Linked DNA regions of Macaca fascicularis. The protein of the gene in region 1 interacts with the protein of each later gene in a pairwise test. Links are inferred from orthologs where the notes say so. Each region holds a gene or a part of one and is shown in the gene's direction. Other genes may lie near its edges.

Region 1 (2,713 bases):
CAGTCTCTCCCCCAAATGTGTTTTCCTGGTGACTAGGAATGCATTTGAAAGTTGGATTTTATTTTTTTACCAATTTCTACAGCTTTCTGAGGCTTGATTTCCTCTGGGTGAGCCTCCAAATCATTAGAGACCCCATGGTTAAAATCCCCATATGAGATATCTTGTGTAGGGTGACCCCAATATGAATAAGCTTATTCTTCAGCTTGCATGCAAATGAGATCCTGGTGGTTCTGTTCAGTCAATGGCATCTATGTATTGAAGACATACTATGTGCCGGTCTGCGTCAAATGATTCTGATCTGTGGAGAAGAGTCAGCTTTATCCCTGCCTTTCACAGAACTGGCATTCTAGCAGGAATTGTAGAATTAAGCAACTTATTACAATTATTCAATGACATGCAATGAGATGCAAGCTGAGGAGGTTCCCTGAGGCCCCTGAAGCTCCCTAGAGTGATGGTAACAGAGCCTGGGACTGAAGCACCCATGGGCTGAGAGAGGACAGTTTGGATGAGAGGTGGAGGTGCTAGGTGCCAAGATAGCTCAGCCTGAGTGTCCTGGCCTCGGTCAAAGTGGCTGCCCTAAAGCTGTGACCTTTGGGCTGAGAGCTAAAGGATGTGTAGGTGTTCACCAGGCTAAGGAACATGCAATGTGTGTGTGCACATGAGTGTGTGTGCACATGCATGTGTGTGCACGGGCATGTGTGTGCGTGTATGTGTGTGCATATGCATGTAAGCATGTGTATGCTACAAATGTATTGTGTGTGATGCATGTGTCCATGCATGTGTGTGCATATGTAAGAGCATATGTATGTCACAAGTATGTTGTGTGTGCATGTGTATGTTACAAGTGCATGGGTGTGCAGGTTGCAGATGCATGTATGAAACCATAGATGCCATGAGTATATTGTCCATGCATGTGTGTGTCCATGTGAGAGTATATGCAGGTGCATGTGAGCATGTGTGTACAAGTATATTGTATGTACATGTGTGTGCACGTGTGTGTGAGTGTACATATGCCACAAGTACATGTGCGTGCAGGTTTCAGGAGCATGTATGTGTTTGTGTGTCCCAAGTGCCTGTGTATATAGATGCTCTTCAGCCTTCACATCTCCTTCCTATCACAAATCAGTCATTGTGAAGTGGATTTCAAGTCTTCTCCATATGGTGCAGTGTTTCCAAGCCTCTTTTGGATCATGAATCATTTCAATAAACAACAACATAACAACAACAGCTATTCCATGTTAACTGCATGAGAGTCATTGTGCCAGACATTTAATGTGTGTTCTCTCATTTACTTCTCCAGCAAACCCAAGAGGCAGGCCTATGGTTATTGTTCCATTCTACAGAAGAAGAAACAGAGGCCCAGGAAGAGGAAGGCTCTTTCCCACGGTGGCCCTGAGCACAGATCTGTATGACTCAAAGTATATGCTCTAATCCACTAAACTCTTTCCTGCCACCAGAGCAAGTGACACAGCAGATTGACCTTATGGCAGGCCCCTCCCCCACTGTTAACGACAACACTCTCCTAGCAGTGAATGGAAAGTCTTCAGTGAAGTTCTGTTCCAGCTCAACCACTGATTCACTGTATGACATTGGAAAAGTCCCCCACTCTTTGTTGCCCTGGAGCTTGCTGAGCTCTATCACTCCACATGAAGAGCTTAGCACCACCATCCACAGACGGCAGGCAGGTTACACAATCTCATGAAATCCCTGTTTCCTCATCGCTAAAATGGAGCTAACAATGGTACCCTCCTGATAGTACTGCGGAGGGGTTGACCGAGCTCATGTGCGAAGAACGCTCAGTCCTGTGACTGCCTCACGACGTGTGCCCAATAAACCACAGCCGTCGCTGATGCTGAGGACACAGGAGAGCCAGAGAGCTGAGAGCACCAGCCTGGGAATCAAGTGGACCTGGATTCAAATGATTCAAACGCTCACTTTGCCTTCTAATCGTCACGTGACTTGGCAAAAGTTATTTAGCTGCCAAATTTTCCTCGCTTGTAAAATGGGAATTAAAACAGCACCTACTTCATAGGTATGTCTGAGGAATACATGAGATAATACACATAGCATTGCCCTATGAATGTTAGTTAACATCATTACTATTTGCACATATTGAGTAATATTATAAATAAGGATTATGTGGGGTCTAATTTTGTTCTAGTTCAAGGTTTTAGAAAAAAATAAATAGAGGTATCTGGTTTGGTCAGATTTACTAGACATTGTACTGTTTGTAAAAATTTTTTGAAAGAAAAAAAAAAACGGACCTGTCTCATGAGTCAATAGAAAGTCAGTTTCCTTTTGGTTGAGGCCAGCAGTTCTGTGCAGTTTATTCTGGTGCTGGCTGGCGGTTTGGTTAGGTTCAAGGCCATGACCATGAGTAAGTGATTCACTCTTGCCAAAAACTATAATCATGGTCATATTCTAAATATTTATACTAAAAGAAACCAAACCTGCTCCACCTTCAGGGGTCACAGGCACCACTCCCTCACATACTGGAGTTCATTCATTCATCCTACTCAGGCTTATTAACCATTCACCTCGTGCCAGGCACCAGGCACTGGTCATGCTGGTGGCTGATGGGACAGAAACCTGCTAGCAGCTTTGGCCAGTTTTGGAGAAACAACCAAATCAGGGCCCTCAATGATGGTAGCTGCACCTGGGCTGTGTAGGCTCCTACAGAGAATGCAGGCCATCTGTTTGGTGCATATCACAA
Region 2 (4,120 bases), on another chromosome or scaffold:
ATGTCAGGCCTACTTGGGTGTCCCCGCCTCTGACACCTCCCTGCTGGAGGAAACAGCAGGAAAGGAGAACCAGGCAGGCAGGCAGGCCTCCCGATGGAGCAGCGTTGGGCCCTCAAGGTGCCTGACCCACTTCCTAGAGTACTCAACAGTCCCAGAGGGTCACAGCTGGTGTGCAGGGCAGCCTGGAGCTCTCACCTTCAGCACGGGGTGTACCTGAGACTTCCAGTGGATGAGGGTCAGCCTCTGGAGCTGTGAAAACCTGGGCCGACAGCAGAGGCAGAGCTGCACTAATGTTCCCACACGAGTCCTTCCCACCCAACACCTTGGTGCAGGGAGACAGAAGGAGCCTGGAGCCAGGGGACAAGGAAAAGAGGGAACCCCTCACCGATTAGGCATAAGCCACTCCAGGGAAGCAAGAAGCTTCTTCTCCGCCTTGACCCCGCCCTTGGCAGGCCGGCCGGCCAGCGGGGACGACAGGGTCACGGTGTGCCAGAGCGCGGGTTGGGAAGCGGCCTCCTGCCAGCGGCGGCACACGCGCGCAGCCCTGGGAGGACAGCGTGCTGAGGCTGCCGGCCCCTTCGTAGGTGATACCCCCTCTCGCAGCGCAGTGGACATCCCGGCTCAAAGCCGGGCTCCTGGGACTCCAACCGGGCGCCTAAGGGGCTGCGCTCTCGGGCGGAGGGGTGCGCGCTCCGATGCTTTCGCCCTCCGCCCCCGCCCGGGCCACTGCTCGGACCACGTCTGGCCCAAGTCGCTGCGCTCGGCGACGGGCCCGGCAGCAGCGTTACCTGCCGAGGAAGGGCATGGGCCCGTCCGCCGCCACCAACAACCCGAAAATCTGCACCAGGATTTCCAAGGGAATGCGGTCTCCCCAGCCCGCGTCGGGCCCTTCCTCGGGCGAGGGCGCCGGGTCGGGCCTGAGCGTGGCCTTGGGCTTGGCCGCGGCGCGGCCCGGGGGCGGCTGCCGGGGAGTGCGGCGGGCAGCGCGGGGAGTGCGGCGGGCAGCGCGTCGCTGTGCGCGGGTCCGGGCGGGTCCGGGTTCGGACAGCACCAGCAGCATGCTGTCGGACGGAAGCAGGTGGTACCCCGAGCCGCTCGGCGCCAGCCGGTCCCACCACCAGTCCTCGGCCGAGCGGGCCCGCGGCGCTGCCCGAGCTCTGCGCCGGACCTTCCGGGAGGCCGGGGAAGCCATGACCACCGACGGCGCTTGGGGCAGCTCCAGGGAGCGGAACGGGCGGGGCTTACAGACTGACACCCCCCGACTCTTCTCTGCGCCCGCCCGCTGACCCGCTTCCGGGGCGGGACTTCCGGCCGTGGGCCATGCCGGGGGCGGGCCCGGAGTCGCGGCGGGTGAGTCTGGTGGTGGCTGCTGTCGGGTCCTGGGCTGTCTGGACTGAGGCGGCGTCCCTGGGCCGGACGGCGGCGTCCTGGCGTGGCGGGAAGCCGGCACTAGAGCGGGAGCGCACTGGGTGCGGGACCGGGAGGCGTAGAGTCGCCCATCTGAAGCTGGTGAGAGGGCGGCGCCCCTACGAGCAGAGCCGCCCCAGCCACTCCCCTGGGATCTGACTTGGCTCCTGCGGTCCCGGGCACCGCGAAGCCCTGGGGCGTGCTTGGCTCCTGCTGGTAGGCGCCCTGTCCCAGTGTCCGGCTTGGGGTGGTGGTTGCAGTGACTCCAACCCCGCCTCTCCCTGGAGAGGAGGGCTCCACTCGCTCCTTCGGCCTCCTCCCCTGGGGCTGCAGCGACTCGGGCCGGCTTCCTGCTTCCCTACCTGCCGGCGGTCCCGACGCTGGCGGGCGGTGCTGCTGGGTACGTTTTAGCCAATCCTCCCCATCCCCACTCCTGCCCGGGGCTCCCCCTGTTCCCTTGGTCTCACCCTGTTGATTCCGGTTCTGTATCCTGCCTATTTGTCTGTTTCTTTCAAGCTAGAAGAGGTCTTCAGTTCCCAGAAGAGCCAAAGCGTCTCTGGACCTAGGTGGGAAAAGAACTGGCTGTGACCTTTGCCTTGACCTGGAAGGGCGCAGCCTTGGACTGAATGGCAGCACCCACACCCGGCCGTCCGGTGCTGACCCACCTGCTGGTGGCTCTCTTCGGCATGGGCTCCTGGGCTGCGGTCAATGGGATCTGGGTGGAACTACCTGTGGTGGTCAAAGAGCTTCCGGAGGGTGAGTGGGAGGAGGTGCAGGTGTGCCCAGGAAGGTGGGCCCTGTCAGTTCTTCTTCCCTTGGGTATCATGCCCCTGACATGGTCTCCTCCCTTCCCTGCAGGTTGGAGTCTCCCCTCCTACGTCTCTGTGCTTGTGGCGCTGGGGAACCTGGGTCTGCTGGTGGTGACCCTTTGGAGGCGGCTGGCCCCAGGAAAGGGCGAGCGGGTCCCCATCCGGGTGGTGCAGGTGCTGAGCATGGTGGGCACAGCTCTCCTGGCCTTTCTGTGGCACCGCGTGGTCCTAGTGGCAGGACAGTCGCATTCCGTGGCCTTCTTAGCACTGGCCTTTGTGCTGGCGCTGGCATGCTGTGCCTCTAATGTCACTTTCCTGCCCTTCCTGAGCCACCTGCCACCTCGCTTCTTACGGTCATTCTTCCTGGGTCAAGGCCTGAGTGCCCTGCTGCCCTGCGTGCTGGCCCTAGTGCAGGGTGTGGGCCGCCGTGAGTGCCCACCAGCCCCCATCAACGGCACCCCCGGCCCCCCACTCGACTTCCGTGAGCGTTTTCCCGCCAGCACCTTCTTCTGGGCACTGACTGCCCTTCTGGTCGCTTCAGCTGCTGCCTTTCAGGGTCTCCTGCTGCTGTTGCCACCACCATCTGTACCCACAGGGGGCTTAGGATCAGGCCTCCAGGTGGGAGCCCCAGGAGCAGAGGAAGAGGTGGAAGAGGCCTCACCATTGCAAGAGCCACCAAGCCAGGCAGCAGGCACCACCCCTGGTCCAGACCCTAAGGCCTATCAGCTTCTCTCAGCCCACAGTGCCTGCCTCCTGGGGCTGTTGGCTGCCACCAACGCACTGACCAACGGCGTGCTACCTGCTGTGCAAAGCTTTTCCTGCTTACCCTACGGGCGTCTGGCCTACCACCTGGCTGTGGTGCTGGGCAGTGCTGCCAATCCCCTGGCCTGCTTCCTGGCCATGGGTGTGCTGTGCAGGTACACAAGGGCCCTTCAGCCCCTGTGCGGGTGGAACTCAGGGCTGGGAGCCAGGTCCTGGCACAGTCAGCCCTGACACTCTGCTCACTCTCTACAGATCCTTGGCAGGGCTGGGCGGCCTCTCTCTGCTGGGCGTGCTCTTTGGGGGCTACCTGATGGCGCTGGCAGTCCTGAGCCCCTGCCCGCCCCTGGTGGGCACCTCGGCAGGGGTGGTCCTCGTGGTGAGCACACGGGACGTGAAGTGGGGTGGGGGCGTTTTCGTGGAGCAGGCACATCTCACGCTCAGCTGCTGCTGTGTCCCCTCAGGTCCTGTCGTGGGTGCTGTGTCTTGGTGTTTTCTCCTACGTGAAGGTGGCAGCTAGCTCCCTGCTGCATGGCGGGGGCCGGCCGGCATTGCTGGCAGCCGGTGTGGCCATCCAGGTGGGCTCTCTGCTCGGCGCTGTTGCTATGTTCCCCCCCACCAGCATCTATCACGTGTTCCACAGCAGAAAGGACTGTGCAGACCCCTGTGACTCCTGAGCCTGGGCAGGTGGGGACCCCGCTCCCTGACGCCTGTCTTTCCCTCAACACTGCCACCATGCCTGAGTGCCTGCAGCCCAGGAGGCCCGCACACCGGTACACTCGTGGACACCACACACTCCATAGGAGACCCTGGCTCTCTGGGGCGGGGGGAAAGGGCAGGGAGCAGGCTTGGAGCCAGGGACCGGTGGGGGCTGTAGGGTAAGCCCCTGAGCCTAGGACCTACGTGTGGTTTGCATAATAAAACATTTTTATTTAATGAGTTGGCATTAATTCTTTGAGCATCTCTTTCTGTGTGGATGCTTCTGTGAACTAGAGCCATGGCCGGGCCTGTTTAACAGGGGCCACCTCTCCCCAGGCCCTGGGCAGGTCCTTACCCACCGCAGGCTGGTCTCACAGATCGTACAGTCATGGCCCTCTGAGCCCAGACTCCCCTACATTCCTTCTTGGAACTGCCCTGGGCTCTCT
Region 3 (2,157 bases), on another chromosome or scaffold:
AGAGCAAATGCATATATTCGAGTTGTCTGGGGTGTAGACCAAAGCATTCCATCCACCCAGGGAGTTTTCTTTTAGTCTCATATTTTATCTGAAACCTTATTGACATTTTACCTTTTACTCCTTGTTCTTGTTTGAATGCATAGATAATGACTACACTTATTATATATTAAATTACTTCAATTTTCCCCCAAATATTGAAGTGGCTTTAATATTGCCAGGTGATTGCTGTGTTCATGTTGTAACTTTGAGAACCATCGTCCCCATCTTGGTTGACTATGATGTGCTTGAGGGAAGTCACTGCTTCTTGTAGCTTTCTATTTTCTCGACACCAAGCATAGTGCTCGGCATGGAGTTGATATCAATAAATGGATGCTTGTGTTGGATATGTATCTGTTTGCCCCATTTGAGTACATGTACAATGCTTAATACATGTTTTATAAGTAAATGAAATGATAGCATGCTTACATTAAGAACATGTGTTTATATTCCTGGAAAGCCTCCATGTGAAAAAAAATAGGTACATATTTTTGGTTCTTAACCTTTAAATGTTGACTTTTTTAGATGTCTGGACCATATGCTTACAAGAACAGTGCCTTTTTGAAGACAGTTTTTCATTTGGTTATTGTCAAAGAGTTTTCTGCTCCAAAATTTTCCTGTGTTTGAGATATCTAGACATTCTTTTTGGCTACTTTCTGCATATTTTCCTGTATTTTTACAGGTTCTATTTTCTTTGATTTTCTGAAGTATCTCCTATTTCTTTAAATTTGATATACATACCTATTTTATGATAAATATATTTTTTATGTCTGATTCTGTATCTCTGGCATATAAATTCATAGTGGCTAATTGTCTCTTGCATATTGTGACTTTTGATTTTGTGAACCTGTGTCCCTTGAATTTTAACTATAGGATTTTTTGAGGTCTGGTTTTAAAGTACATTCTTCCAGAGAGGATTTGTTTGATTTTTACCAGGTGCCTGGGATTATTTTAAATTGTATTTTGGGTTTTCTGAGCCACATAGATCCTGGAAATTCTGATCCTAACACCATGTAAGTTCAGGCTCCTGGTTAGAATTTGCCATTTTTTGCCTCCTTTCCCCCCAGTTCATCCAGACCCAAATCCTGTCATATAGGCAGATTTCTTCATTATCTCCTTACACCTCTTAAGATGTCAGCATTTGAGGAGTTCCAAATTCACAGGGAGTCTTTGACCCAATCCCCACCCACATTGGCCCCAGCTCTGTTTCCTGCCCCTGTGTACCTGGGCATCTTGCCCCATTTTTCTAGCTAAAACTAACTTGAAGCCCTCACCAGGACGGGCAGGTGCCCCTAAGGTAAACAGGCAGCATGAACAGGGAGGAGTCTCTGGCCTGTTTGAAATTTGTTTCCTTTTTGATTTTGGCCTCTGGCGAATTTCCCTTTCTTGTTTTCTGTAAGTGTATGCCTTTGAAGATAATACTGTCATACTTTATTTTGCATTTAGGAAAAATTGGAGGAGCCCTCTCATCATTTAGTCCATCGGAGACAATAAACTCTTTGGTATTTGCTGTGTGTAAGGCACACTACTGACCCTCACACTGGAAAACATGAGAATCCTGGTCAGCAATGAAAATGGGAATTTCTGCACTACCCTGACTCCTTATCTAGCTCTCCTAGTGGCAGACACTTTCGTGGTGAATAAGATTTTTAGTGTATCTGGGTTCTTATCTATAATAAAAAGGGATTGGACTAGCTGATCTTTATGGATCCTTCCAGTCCTAAATGTTTTGCACTCTATGACCCTCAACCCACTACAGTTTGTTTTCTATTTTTATGCTTACAATGATTCAGCTGATGTCCTGAGCCCAGTTACCCATGCCTCATTCTGGAAAACTGTTCTCTCTCTCTTATTTTTATTTATTTATCTTTTTTTTTTTTTTTTTTTTTTTTTTTTTTTTTTTTACGGTTTTGCCAGTCTGCATTTATTCCCTAGTGCTTTGATCTTTCAGGGGACACTGGGAATAAATGTCTTCTCTGTTCCCCCACAGGTCGCTTCTCTGGGAGTCACCACTTTCACCTTATGTGCTCTGTGCATAGACCGTTTCCGTGCTGCCACCAACGTACAGATGTACTATGAAATGATCGAAAACTGTTCCTCAACAACTGCCAAACTGGCTGT
Region 4 (4,009 bases), on another chromosome or scaffold:
TTTCCTCTTTTACACCGCCACACTCAAAATCAGAATTGGCAACCCCTTTGGTAGAACATGAGCTCCTGGTCACTATAAGCCCACTTATACCCAGTAACGGGCCTACGTCACTCATTTACACTCTGACCTCTCTCCTGCGAGGTTGGTGATTGCACCAACCACGCCCAGAGAAAAGTCACTCTTCCAGCATCTCCCAGGGACCTGCTGGCAGGGCTGAAGATAGAACTCTGACTCTGTGTTTTCCCTCCAGCAACTTCCCTTGCTAGACATTGAAGTGGATTGTTAAATCCCTGACGTATCGGCTTCTAAACTGGATGCAGATAGGGTCAGATAAAAACACTTCTCAGTGCACCTTCTTGTCAACAGTGGGTTCCTATCTTTTCTTCTTTCTTTTGGGATTGGGTGCTAGGTCCCATGACATTAGCTAGGATTCTAAGACCTTTGCTCAGCTGCTGCTGCCACCACTGACACGCACTCTGCTCCTCAAATACGGAGAGCGTGTTCCTGCCTTGAGGATCTTTGCATTTGCCTTCCCTCTGCTTGGAACTCTTCCCTCACATCCGCTTCCTAGCTTCAGCTCGGCATCACCTCCTCAGAGAGGCCTTCTATCCTTGGTGCCCGGGCACCACTGCTACCCCTTTTGGCTTCTTTTTTTTTTTTTTTTTTTTTAAAGGATGCTATGTTGCCCAAGCTGGAGTGCAGTGGTCCGATCATGTATTAACTTCAGCTTCCAACTCCTGGCTTCAAGCGTTCCTCCTGCCTCGGCCTCCCGAGTAGCTAGGCTTACAGACTGGGGTTACAGGTGTGAGCCACCGCGCCCGGCCGCTTTGGCCTCCTTTAAGAGCTTCCCTCCGCGCTTTGTTCCAGTTCTCGTCACGGTCTGTTCAGTGCGCGGGGTTGGGAGGCGGGAAACTGCCCAATGCCCAGACCTCACGGTCTGTTTCTCCTCAAGCTCGTGAAGCTCTCTGACAGCAGAGACCCAATCACGAGGCGGAGACTTAGCCTTCCACATCGGCCAGCGGGTCGGCCGCATCCTCGATCTGGTCTTGGGGACTCGAGACCAGAGGGAAGAGCACGTCGACCCGCCCGGGGGACCTTAGGGCCACACGCCACCTATCCACCGGCTTCCCCAGCAAGCCCACTGCGCATGCTCCATACTCCAGCCCCGTCCCCATTCAGGGGCGGGCCGCGCCTGCGCAGCTACCCGGCACTGGCTTCCGGGTGGTGCGAGCGAGATGGGGCGGAGGGCCGGTCTCGCTGAGTAGAGGCGGTGAGTGGGCGTGTGCGCGGAGCGGTCTGGCCCGAGGGCTAGGGGCTGGCCGAGGGTCTTCGGGAGCAGGTCGCAGGGCGCGGAGAGAGCCTGGGATCGCCGTCTGCCGCTGCTACCCGGTATGTCGGCGGAGGCCTCGGGCCCGGCGGCCCCCGCGGCCCCGTCCCTGGAAGCCCCCAAGCCCTCGGGTCTCGAGCCTGGCCCCGCCGCCTACGGTCTCAAGCCGCTAACCCCGAACAGCAAATACGTGAAGCTGAACGTGGGCGGCTCGCTGCACTACACCACGCTGCGCACCCTCACGGGACAGGACACCATGCTGAAGGCCATGTTCAGCGGCCGCGTGGAGGTGCTGACCGATGCCGGAGGTACTAGCGGCGCCCCCACCGTGCCCCCATCCCCAGATCCCCAACTCCCGTTCCCCTCAGTCTCTCACCAACGGGGCTCCTCATGCCCCTTCTCTCTGCCCGCTGCTGTCCCGTCAACTCATTCTCAGCTCCCTCCAGCCCCGACATCCCATCTTCTCGCCTTTTCTCATTCATAATTTCTCTTCTCCTCCCCCAATCCTTTACCCCCAGCAATAACCAACACTTACGGAACCCCTAACTCTGCCAGGCGCTGTGGTAAGTGATTGAACGTGTCAGTTCATAATCCTCATGACTACCTCTCCCACCCTTCACGTCTCAGCTCAAGACTTGGGAACCAGCCCTGCTGCCTGCAGTACTACTCCTGGCAGCCTTCATCAGTTTCCTCCGACCGCCCAGCCTTTTGTTTCCCTCTCTGCTTCAGAACTGCTAACAACCAGCCAGGAGGGCTGGGAGATCTTGTCTGCCTCTGTGTTCCCCTGACACAGGTCCCTGTACGCTCTAGGAATCCATCTGTATATACACATTGCAGAAGGAGGCTGCTTTGGGTTTGCCAGGGACACCAGAGTGGAGGGTGGACAGGTGTCCTTGGCAGGTGAACCTTACCTTCTTGGAGTGTTGTATTCAAGTTTGGACCCTTCGTGCCCAAGTGAGACCTTGAAGTTTTGGAGTTTGGGAGTGGGAGAGTCTTAAGGGAGGGGTTAACAAGGACTGTGAGAGCAGTAGAATAAAAACTTGGGAGGCGGAGATCTGCCTTCAGGTATCAAAGGTGAAGAATTCGGCCAGGCACGGTGGCTCAAGCCTATAATCCCCGCACTTTGGGAGGCCAAGGCGGGTGGATCACCAGAGGTCAGGAGTTTGACACCAGCCTGACCAATATGGCGAAACTCCGTCTCTACTAAAAATACAAAAATTAGCCGGGCGTGGTGGTGTGCGCCTGTAGCCCAGCTACTTGCGAGGCTGAGACAGGAGAATCGCTTGAACCTGGGAGGCAGAGGTTGCAGTGAGCCGAGTCGGCGCCACTGCACTCCAGCCTGGGTGACAGAGTGAGACTCTGTCTCAGAAAAAAAAAAGGAAGAATTCATTTGTCCAATGAGTATTTGTAAAATATCAGTTAGTGCTGGAGATAGGTAAATGAACCTGACAAAATTATATAACTTCCCTTTTTTTAGGGAGGTGAGAGATCGGAAGACCAATAAGCAAGTAAACAAAATGTATATGCATATGCAATTGCAGATAGTAGTAAGTTCTTTCTTTTTTTTTTTTTTTTGATAGTAAGTTCTATGAAGAATATAAAAGTTAAAATGGCAGTGAACTGGACGGGGGAGGTAGACATTTTAATTAAATAGAATGGTGAGAATTAGCATCGGGGGTTAGCGGTTTATTGATAAGGTAATTCTGCAAGAACTTTCTCGTGGTGAGAGTCTTCTGACTGTAGACCAGATTTGGATGAATTAATTCTCTGGCTGGATATGTATAAACTTATGAGAGAACTCGCTGGAGATGTTTTAAAGAGATTTCTTGGCTGTGGCACAGGCTTGAGACAGATCAGTATTCAGACTTTTTTGTGGCTTTGGAATCCTTTTTCTTTTCTTTTCTTTTTTTTTTTTTTTTGAGATGGAGTTTCGCTCTTGTTGCCCAGGCTGTCTCGGCTCACCACAACCTCCGCCTCTCAGGTTCAAGCGATTCTCCTGCCTCAGCCTCCTGAGTAGTTGGGATTACAGGCATGCGCCACCACGCCTGGCTAATTTTGTGTTTTTATTAAAGACGGGGTTTCTCCATGTTGGTCAGGCTGGTCTCGAACTCCTGACCTCAGGTGATCCGCCCACCTCGGCCTCCTAAAGTGCTAGGATTACAGGCCTAAGTCACCACGCCTGGCCTTCTTTTCTTTTTCTTTTTCTTTTTTCTTTTTATTGTTTTGAGACGGAGTTTCCGTCTTATTGCCCAGGGAGTGCAATGGCGCGATTTCGGCTCACTGCAAACTCCACCTCCCAGGTTCAAGCTGTTCTCCTGCCTCACCCTCCCAAGTAGCTGGCATGCGTCACCAAGCCCAGCTAATTTTGTATTTTTAGTAGAGATGGGGTTTCTCCATGTTGGTCAGGCTGGTCTCAAACTCCTGACTTGAGGTGATCTACCCGCCTCAGCCTCCTAAAGTGTTGGAATTACAGGTGTGAATCACTACACCTGGCTGGAATCCTTTTTTCTTATAATTTAGGCCAGGTTTGGTGGCTCACGCCTATAATCCAAGTGTTTGGGAGGCTGAGATGGGAGGATCACTTGAGCCCAGGAGTTTGAGACCAGCCTGGGCAACATAGTGAGACTCCGTCTCTACAAAAAAATAATTTTTAATTTAGTAGTTCCAGGTCACTCAGCAAAG
Region 5 (4,020 bases), on another chromosome or scaffold:
TGGTGCCTACATCTAGACTGCTGTTTCGTCTCATTTATTTTCTAGACAAACTGTGCTGCTCCACAGCATTAGCATCAATATGTCTTTTGTTTCGTGGAGCTTCCTAGGGATTTAAATTCAAACCGTATCATAAAATACAATAAAGGTTTATTTACAGCACATTGGTTTCATTTGACGTTCCTGTACCAGACTACCGTGGCAATCGGCTAAAGTTTTGTCAACAAGTTTGCTGCTGGGATTTTTCTCATTTGGTTCAGTTTACTACCGCCTATCATAAGTGATGCAGATGGGTTTCGTTTCTAACATGTGAACGTGACAACTGTTTTGGTTTGGATCCATCATTAATCAAAACTGAAGAAGGTTATTGGGTTCGATGGTGTAGATTTTGACTTTTATTTCTAGCTTCTGTGTGCTTTGTCATATTTCCCCTTGCTTCCTAGACGAGGTGTGTTTCCTTATCTGATTTTGCATCACTGGAGACAACTCAGGAACCAGGAGAGGCTGGATTGGATACCACAAGGAATGCAGCCCTGCCAACAGAGGGACGGATAGAATTAGAGCAAACGGACACATCCCCCCAGCCTGTTCTCCACAGGGCAGATTTTATTAGTATATTTCTAACATATGGGCCTCGTTTCAGTCTTCAAAAGTTTTTTTTCTAGCGCAAACTAGACGCGCTCTGAGCCAAAATTAGCGTCCGCGAACCCCACCCCATTCGCCTCCAACGGACCTCGCTCGCCTTTCCGCCCACAAACAGCCGTTACTACAGTTCCCAGCAAGCGCCGCGCAGGGCCGCAAAGGGCCAGGCCCTCGGCGAATGCCCCGCCCCGCAGGAGGCATGCCGGGAGTTGTAGTGAGTGGGCCCTTCCCCACTGCTTCTTGTTCCTTCCACTGGGCATTCCCACTTGGAAGACTGTTAAGCGCTGCCAGAGCAGTTTCTCTAGTTCCGTACTCGCAGCTCAAGGTGACAGAGGACTGCGCCGCCAGACCTGCGCTGCGCATCGCGTCGGCCCCGCGGACCTTTGCCCCGCCTCCCTCCACACCCGTTCCCTTGACAGCTGGGCTGCGCACGGGGCCGCGGCAAGCCGCGAGCGCGCAGGCGCAGCAGCCCCGCGCCGCGCTAGGCCGGCCTGGAGGGCGGGACGAGCGCTAGTGGCTCCTGGCCGCCGGGGCGCGCACGTAGGCACGCAGAGGCCGTCACGTGGGGCGCCGAGGATCGCAGTGCGCGTGGCCGTGGCGGCTGGTGTGGGGTTGAGTCAGTTGTGAGACCCGGAGCTGGTGACCCAGCGGGTGGCCCACCGAACCGGCGACACAGCGACAGGCGTCAGGGCTCGGGAGCTGCGAGCCTGGCCTCGTCTTAGAGCTCGGCCGAGCCGCCGTCGACCCCCGCCCCCAGTCAGCAAACCGCCGCCGCGGGCGCGCCCCCGCTCTGCGCTGTCTCTCCGATGGCGTCCGCCTCAGGGGCCATGGCGAAGCACGAGCAGATCCTGGTCCTCGACCCGCCCACAGACCTCAAATTCAAAGGTAGGCAGGACGGGGACACCCCAGGGCTGGCTGGGGCGCGCGGAGGGCTGGCGGGCGGCGGGGGGCGCGGAGGACAACTCGGCCGCCCCGGCCAGAGGGAGCGCCCCCTCCCCCACGCCCCGGCGCCTGCCCTCTCCCGGCTGCTGCCTCGCCGCCGCCTCGGCCGGCCTGCCCCTTGCTCCGGCCCGCTTCGTCCCCTCCCGCCCGCCCGCGCTGCGGTGCGCGCGCCGGCCGGGGCGAGGCGGACGGGAGCCGGGCCCTGGCGCGGCCGCCGCCGCCGCCATCTTGCGGTCCCGGGGGGGCGCCTCCTGGGTGTCCGGTCCCGCCCGAGCCGCCGTCCGCCCGGGCCCGCGTCCCTGGTCCCCGAGGCCGATGGCGTGCTCCGGCGGGGCGTGGGCGGGTGGGCATCGGCGGGCATCGGCGGGCGTGCGCTCTGGGCTGCGGCGGGGAGTGGGCTCTGGAGGTGGCGCAAGCTGCGTCCGTCGCCCGCTCCCGGCTGTCAGCGGCGCGGGGAGGCCAGGGCGCGGCGCGGGACCCTTCGGGAGTGAGACCGCCCCTCGGCCCCTGCCCCGGCCCGGGCAGAGCTGGGAGCAGCCGGCCCTCGGGCTCCGCGGAGCGCGTCGTTTCTCACCTTTCCGCCCGGCTTAGAACTCGGCCATCAGGTGTAGGGCGCGCCGGGGAGGCGGAGAAGCCCTGGAGGTGCCTGGCGAGGGCTGCCCGGTGCTGTTGGCACGGACCCAGGCGCGTGCGGGCAGCAGCGATGCGTCAGCTGCGAGCGGAGAGTTGTAGGTTCATAGTAAGCGGGGCTTCCTGCCTTCCACGACATTTCAGTGTGCCACCCGCGTGCTTTTATTTAGCCCTTCGGTTGCGCTCCTCTGCTGAGAAACCTTCAGTGCGTGTGACTTTTGCTTTTACGTTTGCGGTTGCCGACAGATCCTGAGAGGCCTGATAAGGTGTGACCCAGCTCTGGAGCTTTGTAGGTTTTTATTTTGTAGCGCTGCCTGTGGTAAGTTTTTAGTCTGACTTGGTGATCCTGGAAGAATCCCAGGGGCTGTTTGGTGCCTTTCCTTAGTCGATCTGTGTTGTACTTTAGGAAAGAGAGTAAAACTGTACAGATTTTTTTTTTTCTTCTGTATTCTTAAGGAATACTGAAAGAGTGTGAACATCTGATAGAAAGTAGGTTTCTTCCTATCTTCAGTTAAGTGTAAAGTGAGGCCCGTTTTGGAAGTCTATGTCTTGTATTTCAGTTGTTGAATGAGAACAATTTTTGTGAGGTGCATAGCAATTCTAGTGCTAAAAGAAAAAGTTAAATCCTTTATTGTTGTGTGAGGTTGAGTCCAAGAGAAGACCAACTACATTATTTCCATAGGAAAAACTTCAGTTTTAGGAATTTAAAATATATTCTGGAATTATGAGATTAATATTGCGTAACTACATTGCAAGCTTTTTAGTGCATTTACAAATTTCTTTGAATAGAAGTAAGTGTAAGCGAGCTACTTGTTGGGTAAGGATTTGGTTTTAAGACAAGGTGCAGTGAATGTATTTTTTTGCAAGTTTATGTAAGTTGTGTGATTTTTTTACGTAGTTTTAGCTGGGGGAAAACCTTTGAGGAATTATGAAAAGTCCTAACTCAGCCATTATCTCGAGATAATTTAATGTAAGCCTGTATGATGTGTTTTTTAATATTTCGTTTTTATCTTTTGATTGGCCGTGTTTACAGTGAACATTTCCTCTACTGGATAACTGTGTAAGTTGCCATTAGGGACTTATAAGTATGTGTAAGTTGCCATTAGGACAGTTTTAGGCCAGGAAATGTCCGCAGTTTGAAGTTTTTTCTCCTTAGGGAAGTTGTTATGTTGCTATAGTAAGAGACTAATAATAGTGGAGAAGCAGGTTTAAAAAAACAAGCAAAAACCCTACACAGTGACTTACTCTTATATTTCCTTTTTTGGGGGTATTGGAGAATTACAGCTATGATTATAGAACACGTTGTTCTTGTGTTGCCAGTAAAAATGATAAGACTAGCCAGGGAAACAGAAAAGGTATATAGATGGTATAACAGAGACTCAACCCTGTCTGAGGAAAGAAGCCTTCTCTACGTGCCCCATCCCTCCCTTAGGAAATTTTTAAGGAAAAGGCTCGTTTTTCATTTCAGGGGAGATTTAGGCCAAGAGAGTGGTTGAGTAAACACACTGCTGTGAGAGAATGCCTGGTACTTAAATGCCCAATAGTTTGTTGTGTGTTTCAGTTTAAAGACGGAGATAATGGGGGGGATTGGGAGGTGACATTTGGTGTCTGGTTCCTTAATATTATTTTTTTAGTCAAAGGTAAATTGTTTGCTTGATGGAAACCTTTGTGTATTTAAGTGCACAGCTCAACACTGAGGAGACTCATTTAGAATCTACAGTCTACTTGTGCTTAGTTTGTGATAGAAAAAAATCGTTTAACTGACTTATCCTAAATCATTCAAAACTTTCTTTTTAAGTGAAGGACTTT
Region 6 (4,044 bases), on another chromosome or scaffold:
TATTAAAAATATGAAAAGTAGCTAGGCATTGTGGCAGGCGCCTGTAATCCCAGCTACTCGGGAGGCTGAGCAGAGAAGTGCTTGAACCTGGGAGGCGGAGGTTGCAGTGAGCCGAGATCGCGCCACTGCACTCCAGCCGGGGCAACAGAGCGAGACTCTATCTCAAAAAAAAGAAAACGAAAAAAAACTTCTGCACATCCTTCAGAAAGACTGTCCTCATATGTTCTCCGCTCCACCCCCGCCCGGGCCGAGCGCTGTTAGTGGCTGTGTCTTCTGACTCAGACCTCTGTAATAGCATTCCTGGGTAATACCTGTGTATGTGTCTCCTCAACTATTCTAGGAAGTCAGGGGCCATGGTAATTCATATGTGTCCCCATCGATTGGCATAGTAAATAGCATAAAATAGGCACGGATGGGTGGGTCGATAGATGGACCGATGGGTGCGAGCGAGTGAGTGAGTGGATGTTAGCTGGGATGGGTGGGTGAAGGAGATGGAGAGTCAGAGACATTGGAAAAGGGAACCCTGCGAAAATCAAATGTAGACACCAGGAGGAGCTGACACGCTGCGGTGAAGAAGCGGGAGGGCTGGCCACAGAAGGCGGTACGCTCCGCGTGGAGCAGGTGAGCTGCGCGCACTGAAGCAAGTATCACGCAATTGAACTGCTCACCCACGTGTTCCCCCCCACCATCCTCCTTCCCAGACGGCGCTTCAGCTCATTCCACCGCCCCCAACAGCCCGGTCGCCCCCACCGCCACTGAGAAAGCAAACAAAGGGGAGGAGACCCCTAAAGGTTCTGGATGCCGAGGGCCAATCGAAAGACTTAGATCCCCTGGAAGGCGGGAGCCTTGGTTTAGGGGGGCCCAATCGGTTTCAAGGGGTTGCGGCGGGGCGGGGAGATGGGCGGGAAGAGCGGGAGCGGGCCCCGCGCGCGGGGGAGGGCTCCCCGGCTGGGACGGAACGCGAAGGGTTGGGGGCGGAGCCAATGGCCCTGTGTGTCTGCTAGGAGAGGGCGGGCAGCGCCGCGGCGCGCGCGATCCGGCTGACGCATCTGGCCCCGGTTCCCCCAGACCAGAGCCGGGCCGGGAGGGAGGGGGAAGAGGCGAGAGCGCGGAGGGCGCGCGTGCGCATTGGCGCGGGGAGGAGCAGGGATCTTGGCAGCGGGCGAGGAGGCTGCGAGCGAGCCGCGAACCGAGCGGGCGGCGGGCGCGCGCACCATGGGGGAGAAACCCGGGACCAGGTAAGGGAGGTGGGGCCACGCGGCGGGGCATGGGCGGCGGCTCGGGGCGGGGGCTGGGACGGTCCCAGACGAGGACGCCGCGGAGAGGATCTGGGGGCCGGACGCCTGGGTCCCTAGGGACAGCCATCCGGGGCCGCACGCGCAGGTCCTCGAGGATAATGAGGTTGGGGGGAAATGCCCGGGCCCCTGCAGAAAGCGAGGCCGGAGGGGGATCAGAAAAACCGGTGTCGGGGTTCTCTCAGGGATGTGGGGCCAGACTACTGGGCTCTCCCGTGCCCAGGAGTCTGGGCAGGCTGCGATGCAGGGACGGAGGGAGGAGCAGGTGGCTGGCCCCGAGGGGTCGTGTACGGGGAGGCTGGATGCTGGGAGGGGGATCCCCTCCAGACTCGTGCCAAGCCAATGCAAAGCCTCCTGTCCAATATCCCCCAGGTAGTCGCGCTGCCCACACCTGTCCCGAGGGCCGGGTGGCTCCTCATCCAAACTTCTACCTTCCCCTGGGTTGCCAGGAGCAACAACAGCTTCATCTTGGGAGAGCCTGACCCTTCCTGAAACTAGATCGGATCCCTCTCCCTGGGGGTGGGGGAGGCAGTATTCACGCTGGGCGCGCGTCCACTCCCCGGATGTTTTCTGTGCAATCGAGGCTCTTTCCTTCCACTGATACCCCGAGTTCTCTTTTTTGGTCTCTAGCAAAATCCACTTCCTGTTGTGACTCAACACCCCCAAGGGGTAAGGGGTGAATGCCTGAGTCCCAGGGGAGCAGGAGCAAAAGACAGAAAGGTTGGGGCTGTAGGCCTCAACCCAGAGGGGATCGGGAATAGGGAATTGGTCCTGAGCTCTGGCTTGCTCTGCAAAGCATCATATCGACCCCACTTCCAACCTATAGAGTAGGAGAACCCAGGTTTCTGAGCGTCAAGTAGATGAGTATCAGAAAGAGATCATCAGAGAGATGATCGGTGTCCTGGATTAGGGTTTAAACATCCCAGAGAAAGGGGAAGTTGCTGCCTTGTGGGAGGCCCCTGATTTCCGTTATGTGGTTCAAGGAGTGGGACAGATGGACCAAAGGGGACTGCTGACTTGACCCAATTTCCCTCACCTCCATCAAATTCTGGGCCACAGGAAATGGAGAGAATAGCAGGAAGTGTGAAAGGACATCTGCTTCAGCTACCCCTGCCCCCATTGGGCACCTCCCTGGTCATCCCCACACTCTGCCTCCTTGGCCAGCCTAGTATCTGCACGCTGCTCCTCCTCAGCCTGGCAGGAGGTGGCTGGGTTAGGATCCAAAGGGCAGGTGCCTTGCAGCTGCTCCAGGGCAGTTGCCCCAGAGCCACACTGCAGTTGGCCCACTGACTGTGGCTGTCACAGCCCTGTGCCAGGGCTCCTAATGGGAGGACACCCTGGGACAAAGAGGAAAACCAGAAGCAAAGGGGAGGGAGAGCCTGGATGATGCCACAGCACTCAGCCCCCAAGTTGGGACAAAAGATAGGATGTTTATTCTAGCTGCCACCGTATCGATGTTTATTCTCTTTTATTGGTTAGGAATACCTGGGAGCCTCCATACCCTTTACCTTATAATCTTTGGACAGCTTGGCTTTCTGGGAAGAAGGGACAAGTGAAGTTGTAGCAGAAACTGGGCCTATGGTAGAAACCATTTAGGGCCAAAGGCCAGAGTCATTGCTCTCCTATATGCTCCAGCTGTCAGAGCTGTAGACCAGATGGAAAGATGGTTAAGTCTTACCCAGATACTGCGGCAACCTGCCCATTGGGGTCCTCTGGGAATGGGGTGGTAGAGTTGGAGGAGGGATGGGCTAGTTGGCAGGATTTCACGTTCTGCTGTCTATCTGAGGATCCTTTCCAGGGATCACTGCTGAGGCAGAGTGGATTGGAAGGAGTAAGGTGATGCTTCAAAGAATAGGCTCACAATTGGCCAGATCACTGGGATTGCCAAACACTTCCTTACCCTCCCAGCAGTGGGTGGAGTCCAGGCTTAAATTGTTTCAGCAACTGGAAAGCGAATACCCTTCAATTGAACAAACTATTGATGCCAGCTACAGAGACGGATAGTGTAATATTGATTGAGAGGATGGACTCGGAGCCAGACCGCCTTGGTTTCTATTAATTCCCACCATTTACTCTCTCTGTGACCTTAAAACACTTAACCTCTCTCTGCCTCAGTTTCCTCACCTGGAAAATAGAGACATTAGGACCTCCATCACTGGGTAGTTTTATTTTATTTTATTTTTTATTTATTTATTTATTTGAAATGGAGTCTTGCTCTGTCACCCAGGCTGGAGTGCAGTGACGCAATCTTGGCTCACTGCAACCTAAGGCCGGGCGTGGTGGCTCACGCCTGTAATCCCAGCACTTTGGGAGGCTGAGGCGGGTGCATCACCTGAGGTCAGGAGTTGGAGATCAGCCTGGCCAACTTGGGGAAACCTTGTCTCTACTAAAAAACTACAAAATACAGGCCAGACGCCGTGGCTCAAGCCCGTAATCCCAGCCCTTTGGGAGGCTGAGGCGGGCGGATCACTTGAGGTCAGGAGTTCGAGATCAGCCTGGCCAACATAGGGAAACCCCATCTATACTAAAAATATAAAAATTAGCAGCCAGGCGCAGTGGCTCACACCTGTAATCCCAGCACTTTGGGAGGCCAAGACTGGCGGATCACGAGGTCAGGAGATGAAGACCGTCCTGGCTAACACAGTGAAACCCCGTCTCTACTAAAAATACAAAAAATTAGCCGGGCGTGGTGGTGGGCACCTGTAGTCCTAGCTACTTGGGAGGCTGAGGCAGGAGAATGGCATGAACC

Evidence for each region.
Region 2: the proteins of ADRB2 (region 1) and SLC52A2 interact in a protein complementation assay, tested with the Homo sapiens proteins (2 studies listed by BioGRID and IntAct, with this or other methods). The link is inferred for Macaca fascicularis from reciprocal best matches to the Homo sapiens genes ADRB2 and SLC52A2.
Region 3: the proteins of ADRB2 (region 1) and GPR37 interact in a protein complementation assay, tested with the Homo sapiens proteins (2 studies listed by BioGRID and IntAct, with this or other methods). The link is inferred for Macaca fascicularis from reciprocal best matches to the Homo sapiens genes ADRB2 and GPR37.
Region 4: the proteins of ADRB2 (region 1) and KCTD13 interact in a protein complementation assay, tested with the Homo sapiens proteins (2 studies listed by BioGRID and IntAct, with this or other methods). The link is inferred for Macaca fascicularis from reciprocal best matches to the Homo sapiens genes ADRB2 and KCTD13.
Region 5: the proteins of ADRB2 (region 1) and VAPA interact in a protein complementation assay, tested with the Homo sapiens proteins (2 studies listed by BioGRID and IntAct, with this or other methods). The link is inferred for Macaca fascicularis from reciprocal best matches to the Homo sapiens genes ADRB2 and VAPA.
Region 6: the proteins of ADRB2 (region 1) and ARRB2 interact in binary tests that used the Homo sapiens proteins (3 or more experiments, as listed by UniProt). The link is inferred for Macaca fascicularis from reciprocal best matches to the Homo sapiens genes ADRB2 and ARRB2.

What each region holds. Positions count from the first base shown.
Region 1 is NC_088380.1:155,832,448-155,835,160, forward strand, and holds the end of ADRB2 (beta-2 adrenergic receptor), read left to right. Parts: intron 1-1,300; coding exon 1,301-1,431; 3' UTR 1,432-2,213; downstream 2,214-2,713. UniProt on the Homo sapiens protein: Beta-adrenergic receptors mediate the catecholamine-induced activation of adenylate cyclase through the action of G proteins. The beta-2-adrenergic receptor binds epinephrine with an approximately 30-fold greater affinity than it does norepinephrine.
Region 2 is NC_088382.1:154,040,982-154,045,101, forward strand, and holds SLC52A2 (solute carrier family 52, riboflavin transporter, member 2), read left to right. Parts: upstream 1-1,320; coding exon 1,321-1,509; exon of another isoform or gene 1,510-1,807; intron 1,808-1,923; exon of another isoform or gene 1,924-1,927; coding exon 1,928-1,973; exon of another isoform or gene 1,974-2,033; coding exon of another isoform or gene 2,034-2,163; intron 2,164-2,265; coding exon 2,266-3,133; intron 3,134-3,230; coding exon 3,231-3,354; intron 3,355-3,439; coding exon 3,440-3,652; 3' UTR 3,653-3,911; downstream 3,912-4,120. Other genes in the region: FBXL6 (F-box/LRR-repeat protein 6), read right to left, coding at 196-259, 386-544, 789-1,192. UniProt on the Homo sapiens protein: Plasma membrane transporter mediating the uptake by cells of the water soluble vitamin B2/riboflavin that plays a key role in biochemical oxidation-reduction reactions of the carbohydrate, lipid, and amino acid metabolism.
Region 3 is NC_088377.1:166,334,157-166,336,313, reverse strand, and holds part of GPR37 (prosaposin receptor GPR37), read left to right. Parts: intron 1-2,026; coding exon 2,027-2,157.
Region 4 is NC_088394.1:28,174,894-28,178,902, forward strand, and holds the start of KCTD13 (BTB/POZ domain-containing adapter for CUL3-mediated RhoA degradation protein 1), read left to right. Parts: upstream 1-1,209; 5' UTR 1,210-1,391; coding exon 1,392-1,635; intron 1,636-4,009. UniProt on the Homo sapiens protein: Substrate-specific adapter of a BCR (BTB-CUL3-RBX1) E3 ubiquitin-protein ligase complex required for synaptic transmission.
Region 5 is NC_088392.1:78,262,599-78,266,618, forward strand, and holds the start of VAPA (vesicle-associated membrane protein-associated protein A), read left to right. Parts: upstream 1-1,220; 5' UTR 1,221-1,445; coding exon of another isoform or gene 1,446-1,524; 5' UTR 1,525-2,530; intron 2,531-4,020. UniProt on the Homo sapiens protein: Endoplasmic reticulum (ER)-anchored protein that mediates the formation of contact sites between the ER and endosomes via interaction with FFAT motif-containing proteins such as STARD3 or WDR44.
Region 6 is NC_088390.1:4,804,906-4,808,949, forward strand, and holds the start of ARRB2 (beta-arrestin-2), read left to right. Parts: upstream 1-1,244; 5' UTR 1,245-1,267; coding exon 1,268-1,401; intron 1,402-4,044. UniProt on the Homo sapiens protein: Functions in regulating agonist-mediated G-protein coupled receptor (GPCR) signaling by mediating both receptor desensitization and resensitization processes.